Linked DNA regions of Neodiprion lecontei. The protein of the gene in region 1 interacts with the protein of each later gene in a pairwise test. Links are inferred from orthologs where the notes say so. Each region holds a gene or a part of one and is shown in the gene's direction. Other genes may lie near its edges.

What was found.
Region 2: the proteins of PHAF1 protein CG7083 (region 1) and ataxin-3 interact in binary tests that used the Homo sapiens proteins (3 or more experiments, as listed by UniProt). The link is inferred for Neodiprion lecontei from reciprocal best matches to the Homo sapiens genes PHAF1 and ATXN3.

The regions. Positions count from the first base shown.
Region 1 is NC_060262.1:32,920,943-32,929,990, reverse strand, and holds PHAF1 protein CG7083, read left to right. Parts: upstream 1-2,805; 5' UTR 2,806-2,954; coding exon 2,955-3,018; intron 3,019-3,609; coding exon 3,610-3,692; intron 3,693-4,507; coding exon 4,508-4,756; intron 4,757-4,928; coding exon 4,929-5,147; intron 5,148-5,532; coding exon 5,533-5,682; intron 5,683-5,980; coding exon 5,981-6,145; intron 6,146-6,662; coding exon 6,663-6,842; intron 6,843-6,937; coding exon 6,938-7,135; 3' UTR 7,136-7,443; downstream 7,444-9,048. UniProt on the Homo sapiens protein: Plays a regulatory role in autophagic activity. In complex with BCAS3, associates with the autophagosome formation site during both non-selective and selective autophagy.
Region 2 is NC_060261.1:6,978,167-6,986,054, reverse strand, and holds ataxin-3, read left to right. Parts: upstream 1-1,940; 5' UTR 1,941-2,410; coding exon 2,411-2,434; intron 2,435-2,513; coding exon 2,514-2,678; intron 2,679-3,292; coding exon 3,293-3,429; intron 3,430-3,657; coding exon 3,658-3,812; intron 3,813-3,899; coding exon 3,900-4,561; 3' UTR 4,562-6,087; downstream 6,088-7,888. Other genes in the region: protein lin-7 homolog C, read right to left, coding at 71-235, 362-607, 820-932, 1,113-1,154, 1,448-1,484; sulfhydryl oxidase 2, read right to left, coding at 6,088-7,501. UniProt on the Homo sapiens protein: Deubiquitinating enzyme involved in protein homeostasis maintenance, transcription, cytoskeleton regulation, myogenesis and degradation of misfolded chaperone substrates.

The DNA.
Region 1 (9,048 bases):
ATGCATATTGCGTTACGGCTTCACTTGCGAAAGATAGTCTCTGGTAACAACGAGGGGAATGTCGAAGGCTTGTCTCTGAGTAAGATACAAGCGGGTAACGTGTCGTTAAAGGTCTCCAGCTGTTATCGCGAATATTTTTATTTACTTACGATTAATGCGAAAACTCAGGGCTTGAGAGGAAAGGGGCAAGGGGGAATGATTCGCGGGGGTCGTGCCTCTTCGTCGTGGCAACAACACGAAGTTGATCTTTGCGCAAACCCACAGCTGATATTGCTTCGCCTGTGTGTGACTCTCTACTGTAAATGCATGTAATATAATATGCCAGCCAAGGTTGATTTTCACCAACGAACTATTTTCCTTTACTTGTATATTATGGTTTCCAAAATTCGACGGAAACGTCGGTATAATTGTGTCAAAATGAATTTACCAATTTGTGAGCAGAGGTCCGAAAGACTCTAATCTGGATTTAAATCCCTGAGATTTACTCTCTAGTTACACTGCAGCTATTAATTCTGTCACTCAAGGTACGACAAAGAATATTTAGAGACTTATTACGGGAATTCAGGAGCTCGACCAAAATGGTTACGGGATCTTGCAAAAAATATATTTCAAGACAATAATAGTGTGTAAAGGAATTCGATCAAAGTATTACGCAGAGGGACGTCTTCGTAATCGTTAAAATTCAACCAAGCTTCGGATCGTCGCTCGTGTCTAACGTTTATGCCGTATATTATAGGTTTCTATTTGCGTGCAATTTACGCTTCGTTGTAAACTTACAATTAGCGCACGAATGCAAACCAGTGGTCCCGCTTCGACATACTGTATATTATTTATTATCACCAAGATATGTTTGCGGAGCGAGTCGAGCCCCCAACTGACGTCACATTGACTGACGCCGACAGTCGCAATAAGATAAAATTTGCTCTATCTCTCTTTATTTCTCTCGTGTTGTATGCAAGAGGTTAAGTGAGTGTTTTTTTTACTGAGAATTACGATTTTGCTACTGATTGGCAATTATATTGCCAATCTTCACCGCAATTATACTCATCATGTGTGGTTCAGCAATGTTGCAGTAAATAAGGATGATGCAATTTGAATGACGAATGTCATCTATGCATACGATGTCACGCGAACCGATCGCGAAAAGTTCACACTATGATTAGAGTCACGCTAGGTTTTTTTTTTTTTTTCATTCCAAACAGCACGTATAATTCAAGAAATTCGAAAATGCGACTGTCCAGATATTTCACAGATGTAAGAGTTTGAAAAATGAACAATTCGAAGACGAAATTTTGAATATCTCAAACGTGTAAAACTTGAGAGGTATATTGATAGAGAAATTGTTGGAATCCATCATTGACTGTCACAAAGGTAGTAAACATTTCAAACTCAGAGATAAAAAAATACATAGAAACAACTCCAAATAGTTTGAATATTTTTAGACATACCATTGACAGAACTGGTAGAGTTGCGTAAGTCGACTTTGTCCCCATCCCCTTCCGCACACTTTAAAGCACAGGGTTACGAGGTTTGCAGTTACGATCTTGAGTCCAATAGACTGGGGGAGACCTCTGTCTAGACACAGAGAACCATGGAGAAGTCTTTGGTCAGGACAGCTGCTGCAATATCGACAACTTACGATTGTTGTGAGACAATCCTGGCAATTTTACCAGCATTAGAATTTCAGAGAAATGTAAATACCTTTTGCCGCTTCTCTGGCCGACTGATAACGTAGATGCTGTATTTGAGAGAGGAATACATATACTTAACGCACGCGGATGTCACTGGTAAAAATTTATACTCGCACTACTGACTTGTGCACATTTATCGAGTCACTGGCAATTTTACAATCATTAAAAGTAGTTTATCTTAGAAGTCAAGCATTCTAAAGTTCGAAACTCCAATAATCTAAAGGTGGAAAGTTGAAAGTGTGCATTAGCGATAATGCGGAACGTACAGACGTGTCTGATCGAGTGTGATGGGGAGAAGCAAGGCTTTTATTTACTTCCTTTCAGCTCAGAAGCGACTACCTCGCAAGTCATTATTATTACAAATTGAAAAATATTTTTTATCATATCGAAAAACACACGTCAAAAGAAAATGAAAATAATACATTCGCGACACAGGACATATTTTTACATTGTACAAACGTCAAGTTCTTACGTTGAGTAAACGCGGGAATGTAAATTGTTGCCCTACGTGAAAACAAAAGAACGTGGGAGTTATGTCGAGAATATTTCGAAGAATGCAATTATTTCGCATTGTCTCACTATCTTCCACAAAATTTCGTATTATCCAAACGTCGACGACGCATCTATGCAAAAAAATGTAAATGCACCGACGCACAAAAGTTCACTTGGAGTACACGAAAGTCATTACTTGCAGGTTTTCAAGATTCTGTATTGAAATGGAGCAAAACTAATTGATTTTACTTAAAAAACATTTCCTCTCCACGCAGGGTGCATAGATCAAACATGTATCAGTTCGATTTCACTCACCGAAATAAAGAAAGAAATTTGATAAGTACCAACGACAAGACAGAGATTAACGAAATCGTGACTTTTGCTACATCGCGCCGTTTAGGAATATCCGAGCGCTACCTAATCGTGGAAATTGTCCGCGGTATCGAATTTTCGAAAATATACTCACGATCATACCTCGGTAGAGAATACTATCGTTTTCCTGGAGTTTTATACAATTTGCCGCGAAATATGCACGGGGCCCCGCGAAAGATAGGGTCTTCCCTGGGGAGGCGCGCGGGATCAGCTGTTCGGTGACAGTTTGCCAGCCGCGGTGGGAGACGGTGTGGTACAAGAAAGTCAACATGGCCGCTTGCTAAGCACAAATCGTACGTCGCAAACAAAGAAACGGCGCAGTTCACGGAAAAATTACGGCCGCGTTGTGTGGTTTTAGTTGATTTTCTGTGACTGATAGGCTTGGGAGTATATCGTAGGATGCTGGAGCTTGAGGTGGTACCCGAGAGGTCTCTCGGTTGTGAGCAGTGGGAATTTATTTTAGGCAAGTGACGAAACATTCGTAAATTCTCTCGGTATATTACGTAGAATTTTGCTGAAAACGATATTCCGCTTGAGGGTTAAAATTTTCACAACGCAATCGCGTCATGTTTTCATTGATTTTCAACAGTTGTCATCGCCCCAATCGCAACCCTCGTGACTTCTATAATTCATTATTACAGGTTTAGTTGTGGTAAACAATTATATTTTGACAATCATTGCACGTAAACAAACTCCTATCCGTGTGTACGTAAACATCAACTCCATTACATAATTCGAATGTTTATTTTCTGCTTTTTTTTATTTTCATTTATACCTGTCTCACGCCAAATTTTCCAACATTGTTATAACAAAGGAGTATAGCCGTTTCAATATGCAGGGCTAGCTCATTTCTTCACGGGTTATTAAATACGAGCCGCGATTGTTTTCAAGGTTCTCGACACTTTTACTTTTATCCATCTTTTCACATACATACGCGTTAACGTGCTTCTAGTTGCAGCTAAACTACATAATTGTAATTACCGTACGAAAGTTATTGTTAATGTAAATAATTTCTACTCTCGTTTTTTTCTCATTCGTCTTCTTTCTTCAACAGGAATGCATTTCTCTCAATCTGTAGCAATAATACAATCACAAGTGGGCATTATAAGGGGAGTACAAGTTCTTTACAGTGATACTGTAAGTATTTCAAATCCACTATCACTATCAGTAAATAGTAATAATGGCAGAATGCCACAGTCACGGAGTGTAAACAGTGGGATGGGCTTTTGTAGTCTCCACTAGTGACATCTGTAGTCGAACTTCATACCTACAGATCCAAAACATTTGAGGGTGGGGATAACGCGTAAAATTTTATAAATACAAACAGAATACGTAACATATGCTATTTCGATTTGAAAACTATGCTAATCGAATATATAAAGTACGGTATCTCATATTATGCAGAATTTTGGCTTCTACGCAATAAGAGATTTGAAATCAAATTTTTGCTCTGCAAAGTTCACCTTCTGAAAAATGAAAAGGCGGAATTTATACTTCTGATATTATTTAGATTTTTTTTTCATATCTTCATTGCTGAATTAATTCTAGACGAATCAATTCGTGATTTACAAAACAAATAGCCAAATCTGCAGTAAATTGATTGTACTTGAAAAAATTTACTGCCAAAATTGTATTTTAACAGAACAGATATGAAAGAAGAAAATTGTAATAATTCAGCTGAGATTTCTGTAGTTAATATTCTGAGGTTTTAGATAACCATTATTTGTATAACTGCTATATTATAGAAATCGTCAGACGAATTTGAATTAAAATTTTGCATGAAAACGTTTATATTATTCCTATGAGTGGAATGATTGAATAAAAACAAAAATTTGTTTGTTCTCAATAAAAACTATTCAGTCCATGTACCAACTTTTGAATTAACGAAGCTTGAATCATTGTTTAAGAATCAGAGAGTCGATGTAAGATAAAGTGACGTTTCTTTTTTTCAGAATCCATTAGAAGTAGACTTAGTAATAAATTTACCACATGACGGGGTACGACTTATATTCGATCCAGTCGCGCAGAGGTTGAAAATTATAGAAATATATAATATGAAGCTAGTTAAACTTAAATATTGTGGTCTGCCTTTCAATTCACCAGAGGTACTTCCATCTATTGAACAAATAGAACATTCGTTTGGGGCTACTCATCCTGGCGTCTATGACAGTGACAAACAGGTACAATTGAGATTATGCAGTGTAAGATATTTTAGATTCATCAAATATAACATCTGATATTCAATTACTTATTTGTTTTATAACTGTACTTCTTCAAGAATAACTTGATTTGCTGCTTGTATGAACGATCAGATAATCTTTTTAACGCTTATCACTTGTTTATAATAATAGTAATAAACTTTTCCTGTTTCAGGTGTTCGTTCTGAATTTCAGAGGACTGTCGTTCTACTTCCCAATAGATTCTAAATTTCAACCAGGCTATGCACATGGCTTGGGATCCTTACGATTCTCTAACGGAGCTTCACCACTGGTGGCTAAAACTGCTATTTATGTTGGAAATAATGTTGCTACTGGAACTGCTGGCGGAGGAGAAGAACATAGTCCCAAAACATCTCCTCCACCTTTACCACTCGTTCGTATATCCATTTTCCTCTTAATTTATTCAAATTTCATTTGTAAATTGTAAGAATTTGCAAAGTAAATCGGTAATAATTGTCTAACTACAATTCTATAATTAGCTGATGTTCGGCAATAAAACTTTGCTTTAAGGGCGTAACGGTAAAAAAAATTGGGCACTTCCAAGATTACACTAACATCAGAGTTGAGTTACATCTACGGAATGGAATCTACATTACGGAAAATGGATTTTTTTATTTTGTTACTCATATCTACCACTGAATGTTGCACAACGATCAATAATAGAGTTATGTCACGTTTACAACCAGTGGATTTTAGAAGATAACAAATATTATCACGAAATAACGCATAACTTTTAAGAATAAGCTTATTTTTATTAGGTCTGCTACCATAACAACTTGTATTTGGACAAGGCAGAAGTAATTAGAGATAAAATTCGTACCCGTGGTTTGAAATTGCATCTCTTCACGGAGGGAGGCTCAGCAACAAGGGTTCTATTGGAGCCTAAAAAACATCGTTTTACCAAAGAGGTAAGAATCGCAAGATACCTTTGTTTCAAAATTCGAATATTAAAATGTATAACATACTGCCAGCAGAAATCATTTCTCTTTTTTGTACGACCATCTACTAAATTAGAAGTCCCTTCAATTTCTACAATTTTATAAATTGTAACTGTGATCAAATGACTGCTGAACCTTTTCAAAGCATATGAAACCTTGATTATAATCATAAAACATATTGTTGATGCTACTTCCTTGAATTTCTCAATAAGTAAAGATAAATAACAAATGAACTACTTATATATGGATTTTGCAAATGTGACTTAAGGTATGGTTCGGGGATTCGTGTGAAGATGTGTTGAGTGCTCTTGGGGCGCCTTCTAGAGTATTTTTCAAAGCAGAGGACAAAATGAGAATCCACAGTCCCCATGCGCATAAGCGGGACAAAACCAGGCGTTCAGATTTCTTTTACAATTACTTTACCCTTGGACTGGTAAGACTTGATTCCATATAGTTATCGCATTGAACACTTTTTTCATTTCTATTGGTTTTAAAAGAAATACCGACATGCACTCTAATTAGAATTTTTCTTAAGATGGAATTCATGCCTTATTGGCGAAACAATGCAAATAATCCTTCTTTGCCTGAAAGATCATCTGAAATCCCACGAGACATCAATGTGTCAATTTATTTGATAATCTTATGTTAGCCAAATTCTTTAACTACACAACAATACCTGTATTGACAACTAGTTGATTTTTATGTTAAATATACTAACATAATATTATAATCCTACGTATTTTTGATCTATCGATTTTTTTCTTGCTCACAAACACTATATCAGAGTTTTACGTATTTTAAAATATCTCATTTTACTTTGAGAAAAAAGGTATCGCAAGAGATGTTACTTCACAAAGGCATCGTACTCAACCGTAACGATCCTCAAATCAATTATTCGGTGACGTTTTCTGAAAAGAGCTGTTTGTAATAAATTTTCATTTGTTAATCAGGACGTATTGTTCGATGCCAAGACGCAGTGGGTAAAAAAATTTGTACTGCACACAAATTATCCAGGGCATTATAATTTCAATATGTACCATCGTTGTGAATTCACTTTGAATCTACCACCGGAAACAATTGGCGCATCCGATTCTGGAAAACTCATTGACGTTTCTCCATCCCCAGTAACAGTGAGTCATGATTGTATTATAATCAAGCAAGCCTGATAAGATTTGCTACCGAAATGGATATACAACATGATATACATATTACTTGTGCGTTACAGATCACTGCCTACACTAAATGGGACAGAGTAAGCGAGCAGTTGAAGGCTAGTGCGCGACCCGTTGTATTAAATCGCGCATCTTCGACCAACACTACAAATCCATTTGGATGCACGTTTTGCTATGGCGTTCGCGATGTGATCGTAGAAGTAATGGCTAATCAACATATTGCCAGTGTTACGTTATATGAGACGGCGTGACCCATGTAAACAAAACTGCTTGTAAAACTCTTTGCCACTTCTCCTTTACGAGAGCAAGAAATATGATAAATTTAACAAAATAATGGTAATGATAATAATAACAACAACAACCAACAACAACAACTATAATAATAATAATAATAATAATGATAATAATAATAGTAATAGTAATAATAATAACAGCAACAACAACAATAATAATAATTCATTTAAGTCTACGTGAGTAAGTGATATTTTATGTGAAAAAATGATTAAAAAAAAAAAACAATAAGGGAAAGTGATAATCTCTAATTGAGAAGGGTTAATTTTGCAGATCTGTAATGCAGCGCAAAATATGACATGAAAAACAGCAGATGAGCAGAGTTCTCGACCTGAAGCCTTATTAATGAAAATGAGGAAACATTTCGAGTTTTTTGGGATCATTACCGTTTGAAATTACTCACTCTCCTAACATAAACATCACTCTGCTAATTTTTCACTTGCCTAAACTCAAAGTTGATATAGGACCATTCATTCATAGATTACGAACTCTATTTTATGTACTACGTAGAATAGATAGACTAATCTATAAGTGGATCTCCTAGCCTGATACAAAAATGTTATATACAATGGAAGTGAAAACATTGAAAAAGTAATATTATCGCATGCGTACATAAATATACATACACACAATTTACTGTGTAAATGTGTATATATGTTTAACGCTCCAGTAAATTTATATTAAATTCAAACTCAATAGACAGTGTTTCGGCCAATAGTCAGTGGAACTTTCCTCGGTGCTGTTAATGGCTGTTTTACGTTTACTCAAATAATTTTGTAACCCTGGAGGAGCTAGCTAGAAGCCAGGGCTTAAAAATACAATTCTCTGATCGTGGTTCCCGATTTCTATCTCCAATACGGTGACATTGTTTATCCATATCAATACTTACAATGCCTGGTATCGATTCTACATAATAGTTTTTAATCATAGTACAATACTTTCATATTAGGCTTAATGGCCATAATTATCAATATGAATTATAATACTTATGGTAGTGGATTACGTCATGTAAATCAAAACCCTGTGTCTCCCCGCACTCAGGCCTTTGCCCTCTTGTTCACCCCAAAAAAAGCATAAAAATATTAAGTAATAAAAATTTGCGTAGATAGTAATTATATAGTTAAAAGAATTTATGCAAATAATTATAAATGATAATTAATTGTAACGTGTAATGTTAATATTTAATTTTCATAACTCAATTTTTCTAACGTGTAGTTTAAGAAAAAGAGATGAAGATTAAAAAAATGATGAAAAAAATAATTGTAGCAATGCTAGAGTGCCGCAAGTGACGCAGCTTTGTGATGAAATTTAGTTTACACAGATTTAGTTAATAATTTCTAATTCCTAATCAATTATATGATTGAATAATTGTGAGATTTTTCAAAGAAAATAATTTCTCGTAGTCAAGCGAATATTATTACCAATCATCTTTTAAAATCATGTTCTCATTATCTAAGTACTACAGGTACTCTGACGTTGAAAAAAAAACCTTTTCCTTACGAATGGATACCAATACTTACTAAATATTTTTCTAGTACAACAAAAATCGTTATATAATTAAATTTGGGGAAAAAATCAGGAATAACAGATATTAACAGTTTCATCACAATATCACGCAAACATTTATAACTTATCACAACCCATTATATTGTTAGCTGTGTTTCGTTAGTGGTAGACATTTGCTTCGTTAGCTGAGGCAAAGTTAAAATAATTTGGAGGAAAGGAAAGAAAGTAAAACAATTTTCAGAGTACTGAAATTATTCGACTAACGTCGTTGACTCTACATAAATATAATTCTGAGAAAATTAATTGCAATTATTTTGAATTAAGTTGTGTCCAACATAACATGTTTTAAATACATATGAGTATGCTA
Region 2 (7,888 bases), on another chromosome or scaffold:
ATTACATTGTATCTATATCAGTTATTCATAAATTCTATATATATGTAGTGATAAAAATAATCATTGCAGTCTACTGCACACGTTGACGCCTACGTGCAGTTTGGTGCGCATGTTTATCAAACCGCAATTCCATTTCCTCCAAAAGACGAGGAGTATAGCGAACAACTAACTTCACCGAGTTTTGGGCTTGTTTCAGCGATTCCACAGCTGTCTCATGATTTTCGCCTTCAATACACTAGAGGAAATGAGAAAAATACAATATTTACACTATCCTGTATCATCGTATAAATTCTTGAATGGCAACGTTCGAGTATGATTAAATCTTAATATTTCATCAATGTAAAAATTTCACATTACGTACCACGCCATTAACAGACAGTAACTGGTCACCACGTTTCAAACCACCATGTCTGTCGGCCACACCTCCTGGAATAATTCGAGATATATATACAGGTGAATTTTGCTCTTTTCCTCCCATCACATTGAATCCAAGACCCTCCTCTGTTTTCGGTAATTCAACAACTCGCGGATGGGCATGTCCTTCACTTGCCGCAAAAGCAGCCACAGTCGCCTTGGCTGTGGCGGAAGCACGCACATCTTGAGAACCCTGTACCAAAAATTCCACATACTCTTATATTAGAGTGGTTTTAAACAGGATAGTTCTAATAAACTCAAAGTCTCAAAAACTCATGAATGGCGTATGCCAGGCACCAATTAAAGTATATGTTACGAATCGTTTGAATGTTCTCCAAAACTTTGGCGTCAGAGAAAGATTGATTATTTTATGAAAAAGGTATAATTGCTTATACTTAGTATTACCTGAATATCAACAGTCTCATACACGTGTTCATAGACTTCTCTTACTGCATTGAGAAAGTCGCTTTGTAGTACCTTCTGCAGAGCTGCTAACTTTGTAGCCGGTACTTCACCACCTAAAATAAGTCAGTATCAATCAAATATTCAAGATAAACTTAATTGCAATATAAATACATTACTCGATGATGTTATTTATGAAAACTTTATACAAACCATTTTAATTTGTAATAATCTAACAAATATTTGTTTTGGTAAGGATGTAGGTAATTTAAAAAAAATTTCAATCATCAACTTACTTTTCTGTAGTTTGTCGAGGAGTTCGATCGATCTTTTGACATCTATAAAAACACAAATAAACATAAGCGAGTACCAGAATGAAAAAATAGTGAATGTCCATTCTAGTAACTAATAATTAGATGATACTACAGACATACAGACAATTGAATGAATTGAAGTACCAAATTATACATTTCTTATTCTGCAATTACTTATTCAATGAATTTAGTTACATGATCAATCTAATTACTAATCACACCCAGAAGCGTATCTACGAATTGAAAACTATCCGGCGTTTGCACGACGAACTGACAGTACTCCAAACTGAGTAAACAAGAGCAATAAGTTAACTTACCCCTGGCTAATGTGAGAGGTTCCCCAATCGTTGCCATGGCTGTTAAGCGAGAGTACAAATATTTCTAATATGATAATTACTATCTTTGTTCTCCGCAATGATCACTCAGTATTTTTTTCTCAACTTTCACCAACAATGTTCTCGCTCCATCAATAATTCTGCTGGGAGTATTCCAAATTCCACAACAATAATTATCGAACACTGTCCCGAGTCTGACAATTATGACGCCTTTGACGAGAGCCGATAGGTGGAGCTCCGAGTCAAATCGCGTTATTGTTGGGCTTAGGATCATACAGTGTCGAAGAAATTATTAATTCTAAAAACTCTATAATTCTTAATGCTTTAATTAAATTTATTGACTCTTTAAAAATTAATTTCTAATATAATAATATATCTTATGTTAAAATAACCTATAAAATGTTCAAATAATTTACAGTATAAAATGTTCAAATAATTGTAATTTAATCATAATATGAAATAATACAAAACTGTAATATCAAGTGTAAAAATGGTTGTATGGGCTAGTACCCAAACAGAGAGGTGATTCCACATACAGCGCCATTCGTTGCAACTCATTGCGAGCGCGTTCCGAAATCAGCTATCAGCGCCAAAAACCACTCATCAAAAGCGAGTAAATTTGGGAGCCTATTGGCCCTTTTCCATCGGCTAAGACTGTGATTGGCTATTTGTCCTGACTTGACATAGGCATGGAGGAAGGACACTACAAGCTTGAACATTACCATCTTCTCTTTACATCCACCGCGCTTGAAAAGTGTACATTCCACACAAACGTATGTGCATACATGGATATTAATGTATGACGTTTGATTGCTTGACTTGAAATATATTATTTTACTTTTCCACCGCCTGATATCGCGTGTTATTATCTATTATCCGAGGTCTCATTTTTCGTTTTTTTCACTCGAATCTTATTTCGCTTTTTTGTAAAACCCTGACTTCACAATGGAGAGCATATTTCACGAGAAGGTAATGTAGTTATCCAACCACAGTACTATAATGCTCACTAAAATTTTCATGTCCATTTTGGTTCAAATTTATTTCTTAGCAAGAAGGATACCTTTGTGCGCAGCATTGTCTCAATGCTCTTCTGCAGGGTCCATACTTCAACGCTGTAGATCTTGCAAATTTGGCATGTCAGATGGACGAGGAGGAACGCCTCAGAATGGCTGAATCAGGCATCGACAGCGAGGAGTATCAGTTGTTTCTGGAGGTAACCGTTTGTCTTACTCTTATTATGGCATACACAATCTTTTTTTTCTCACTCTACCATCGCGTATGTATATTGCTTCGTGCGTATTCTGTGCGGATCATTAATCAATTGAAATTCCCCATGTTGATAGTATTTTCAATTAGTCAATTCAATGTACATTAGATACATCTCGGACTTATTAGCTGTTTTATCAATAGCATTACGACAACAAGCTACAGAGGATTCTCATAGTCCTATTGATTTTAAGGGATGGTAACCTTAGACTATAGAAAGTTAGTATTATCTTTTTACTGACGCGACAGAACTGTCAGTATTTATTGAGCTAGAAATAAAACTTACTCAAAGAAGCATTCTGTACTATGAAATGTAGCTGGAAATGGCTGTAAATGAAAATAGTATTACCTTGTTGTTGGCTATCCTTGCTTTGTGCATGTTGTCTGGAACCAGTTGAAAACACTATTGAATTCAATCTCACAATCCAGATGTTGTATTACAATTTATTGCTTCTATATGAAGCAGTGAAATTCCACTCCACTTTGCAAGGTCTATTGTAAAATTAAAAGCTGATGTTTTTTCATCATTTTAAGCTAATTCAATGGATACCTTTGTTATAGCAACCATCGGGAAACATGGATGACAGTGGATATTTTTCGGTGCAAGTCATAAGCAGTGCTCTTAAAGTGTGGGGTCTTGAATTAATTCCTTATAACAGCACTGAAGCAACAGCCCTAATGGCCCAGAACGATCCTTCGTAGGTTATTATTTATCATTTTTTGTTCCCATCGAAAGTACTGTGATTAACACTCATCTTGATCATCCTTATTTAAACTTAAGTGCCTCAGCACTGCTGCAGATCACGTCAAATCTTACTCTCACTGACCAAATGCAAACTGTATTAACGAAAATAATTCAATCATCGGGAACAAGCATTTATTAACTTGACAATATACCTACCAGGATTAATAATTGACTTTTTTAGAGACATGAATGCATATATTTGTAACTACAAGGGCCACTGGTTTACTATCAGAAAACTTGGAAAACAATGGTTCAACTTAAATTCAATGTTGAGCGGACCACAACTTATATCGAACACATATTTGGCTATGTACCTAGCACAGCTGATGCAGGAGGGTATGTTGATAATTTCATTTTATATTATTCGACAAATAATCATCATTTTCAATCTTCATTGATCATTTTACCATATATTCCTCACAGGTTACTCAATTTTCATTGTTATCGGTTCTTTACCTGAATGTGTGGCAGAGGATGTAATTACGAAAAATCCAATAACAGCAACACCGAGAGTAAAAGCGAGATCAAATGATTGTGTAGGAACTAGTGGTATGGGGTATCGTTTAGGTTCCAAAGAAGAGGAAGATGCTAAAATTTTGAAAACTGCTTTGGCCTTAGGAGAAGTTAAAGTTCCAAATTCATGCGTGCGTTTAGCTTCAACATCATCAATAGCAACGGCAGTCAGTAGAATGAGCCAAAAAAATCATTCAGATATTGCATCAGAAACTGGAAAACCAAGAGAAAGAATAATACCAATCAGAATTGAGGGACGCGATCAACCTACTGTAGAAGAGGAGGATGATGCTGACTTACAAAAAGCATTAAAGTTGAGCTTACAGGATGCTAATGTAGGTGTTGACGAATCTTCGAATCTTAGATTGGATCCAAGTAATGATAAGGCAGACAAATATTTACCCAATTCCAATGAGGATACGGATGAAGACGAGGATTTGAGAAGGGCCTTGCAATTGAGTCTAGAATGTATGACCACACCATCTACTCCTGATCCTGATGATTTACGCTGGCGTCGATTGGCCTTCTTAGGAATACACAACAGCGATTCTACTCAGAAGTTGAATACGTAACAATAATTCTGTGAATTGTTATTTTTTTTTGCTTTTTTTTTTTTTATTAAATCTGTTATCGATTGAAATTCAATATGTAAAGTATAATTATCTAATGAACCAAGTGGAGTGATCTTGTCACTTTTTATAACTAATGAACTAATAAAACTAATAAAGTTTACTACATTATAATTTAATTGCGTTTTTTCATTAATTTATTCTAGGTTTGTTAACAATTCTAACTCAAACACGTTTATTGTAATAATGAATAATTCTGAACAGACGTTGAAGACCGAGCCTTGTGCGGACAATAATGCCAGAAGATGATTCATGCAATTAGTTGGATTCTGTAATACATCTTCTGGCATTAATGCTGCGTGAAAAAAAAACTTTGTATCCAGCGTTATATGCAGCATTATGCTATTTGCGGAATTTTCGTGTCAGTGATGCATAGGCATTGATGATATTCATAATGAGTGACATTTCATGGTTGGTCTGTTGGTAAATACTGAGTATAGCGAGCTCTGAGATAGTACCTTTACATCCCAGTAATATTTATAAAAGCTTAGTGCACACTGCTCTCTCAATGCGTTGCATACACATAAGTGATATTAAATCATATGTCAGGTATTCACACTGTATAAACTTAATATGGACCATGAGCGATTAACCAATTATATGATGGATTTACAAGAGAAACCCCCTACCTAATTCTGACCATACCACAGAATGAAATCACGGAACAGAATGGTGGAAAGTAACTCGAATCCTCGTCTCGCTCATCTCTTTGACAATTACTTACGACGTTCACTCCGTTCCATCTGCAGAATTGATGTGAGATTTAAATAATTAAATATCAGAACTACACCTGTAATTACATCGATGATTTGTAACATTGAGCCGCACCACCATCGATTCAATAGATGTGTTGACTGACTGTTGAGCTAGTTATGCGAATCCCAGAAAGTAATACTATCGAACCTGTATTTCGTTTCGTTTTACTTTTCTCTAATTGGTACGGAACAAATCGAAAGTTCGTAATGACTAGTTTGTATTTCATTGCAGCGATATTTACATTCATGAGGTATGTAAGTATGGGAGGTTCTATTTACACTGTTAACGAGTTTAAATAGCTACAATTTATTTTAATTCCGTTTCGTAATTCCATTCAAATTTGCCACATGCAAGAATTCAACTATTGCATAGATTTATTCAACAAAGTATCTATTTAGATGCATTTTTTATGTACAAGACCTTTACAGTTTATCCATTCAATACAGGGCTAAAGTTATGTTCACTGATCTATTGAAATTACAACGGATTTTCGTTTCACCACTCTTATTATTAGGATACTATTTTTTTTTGGCAACTAATGTTTTTCATTCTGGATTTATTTTAGATTTGATTATACTCCCTATATTGTAGCGCTGCGCCAACAGTGAACAGACAAACTGAATATACATGATTTCTCCCAGATTTAATGGTAAACTTTATAATGTGATGCAATGTTTCTTTGATAAATCAAATCGCATAAGCGACAAACAAAGTTATACTTTGCCAAAAAGATCATGTATATATGTTTTCTTCCTGTAAGTCCTTTTCATCGCAAACTTTATACAAACAAGGACGAGTATCGTTGCAGACGTTACATACAGGACCACACAGATGCTTATGTCAAATATTGTAAAATCCCATCCCAATTTTCGTTGACCACTATACTTATCTGAAGCAAATCGTTCTTGTCTAATTTTGAGGTGAACGATACTGTTATTCTCGTTTAGTTTTCCACTTGAATTATAGTAACTTATTTCTGAAGAGCTGTACTTGCGATATAAGTAACGTAATATTTCTGCTTCGTTCCAACTCTCGTTATTGTATTTGCAAGTCGAACATTGCTCTTTGGACGGATATTGTACTTTTTTATGCATAGGATCTTCAGTTTTATCACCAGCCAGTCTTTTGTTCACAAGATTGTGCGATTTCCACAGCCACAAAATACTTTCGTTTAAAGTACGTACTTCAGACATTTTATTTTCACCAGCCATTTTGACGAAATGTTCGGAACAATCAGCACATCCAAAAAAGTTTTTGATATATCCAAGCATAGCTTGTAAAACTTCTTGTGGTTTATATTCTAGATTGTTTTTATTACGGATTGCAGAGTTTACGGTGAGCATATGGAACATTGTCCAAAGTCCACATGGGTACCCACGAAAACTACTAACACTCCCCTTGCATCCAATCCATCCCTGTGGCCCAGAGTATATGGGGGATATTTCTTCTTCGGTCGATTTAACAATTTGTCTGAATTCTTTCCCTGTCAGTCTTTCTCGCTGATCAACAAGTTCTCTTAATCTATCTAAAAATAAAATACCATTGCGTCCAAATGGAAAGTACTTTGCCAGTACATTCAGGTAAGCTTTCAGCGCCTGAATCTTGTCCCCCTCTATAACTTTAACCATTGGAATTTCGTGGTCAATCGAATATCTCAATGCTGTCTCTAAATCTAACTGAAAAAGGAGATCTCCGAGTGCTCTGACTTCCTCCTGTTCTTTTTCGTCTCTCCTTTCTTTCATTATGTCCAACACATTTGGTATTTCAACCTTCATCCACTCGCTGGGATGTTTATTAGTATTATCAGGTATATCTACCGTTATTCCTTTCAACACTAAAAATTCCTTAATAGCTTTTCTTATTCCTTCTCTTGTTGGGTACCTCACATTTATAAGTTGCTGCGAACTGTTACGGCCTAGTGCAATTAGAGTAGGAAATTTATTTACTGAAAGCATTATGCTAAGTGGCTCATTCTCAGAGGTCACACCACGAACTTGTATACTGCTGATGTTGTGTAAGTCTAAGGTCACCTCAGTGGCTAGGAATGAATCCACCGTTTCAAATATTAAAAAGTTATATTTTACACCGGCAGGTAAATCTTTCCACAAATTCTTCGTATCCCCACTTCTGTAACATGCAATCAGATGACACATAATTTTTCTGGCTTCATTAAACTTCTGCTTCTAAAATTGCAGATAATTAAAACTAGTAATTAGAACAAGCAGTACTCGAAATTGTCTTGAAATTTAAAAGGGGCTCATTATGAAAAATTACTACCGCCGTATACTGGAATAGTGGAATTCAACACCAATAGTGTTCCCGGTACGGCTGAAGTATATACTAGTGAAATAATACTTGAAAATAATGATATTTATATAAAATAGTACCTGAAGAATATTTTAATTCATTAATACATTGTGATTAATTATTACAAAGGATATATGAACTCCTTCATCTTGGTGCACTGTATTTGTAGTATCATTACTGCATTGTTTTTGGGAGAAGTATCAATCA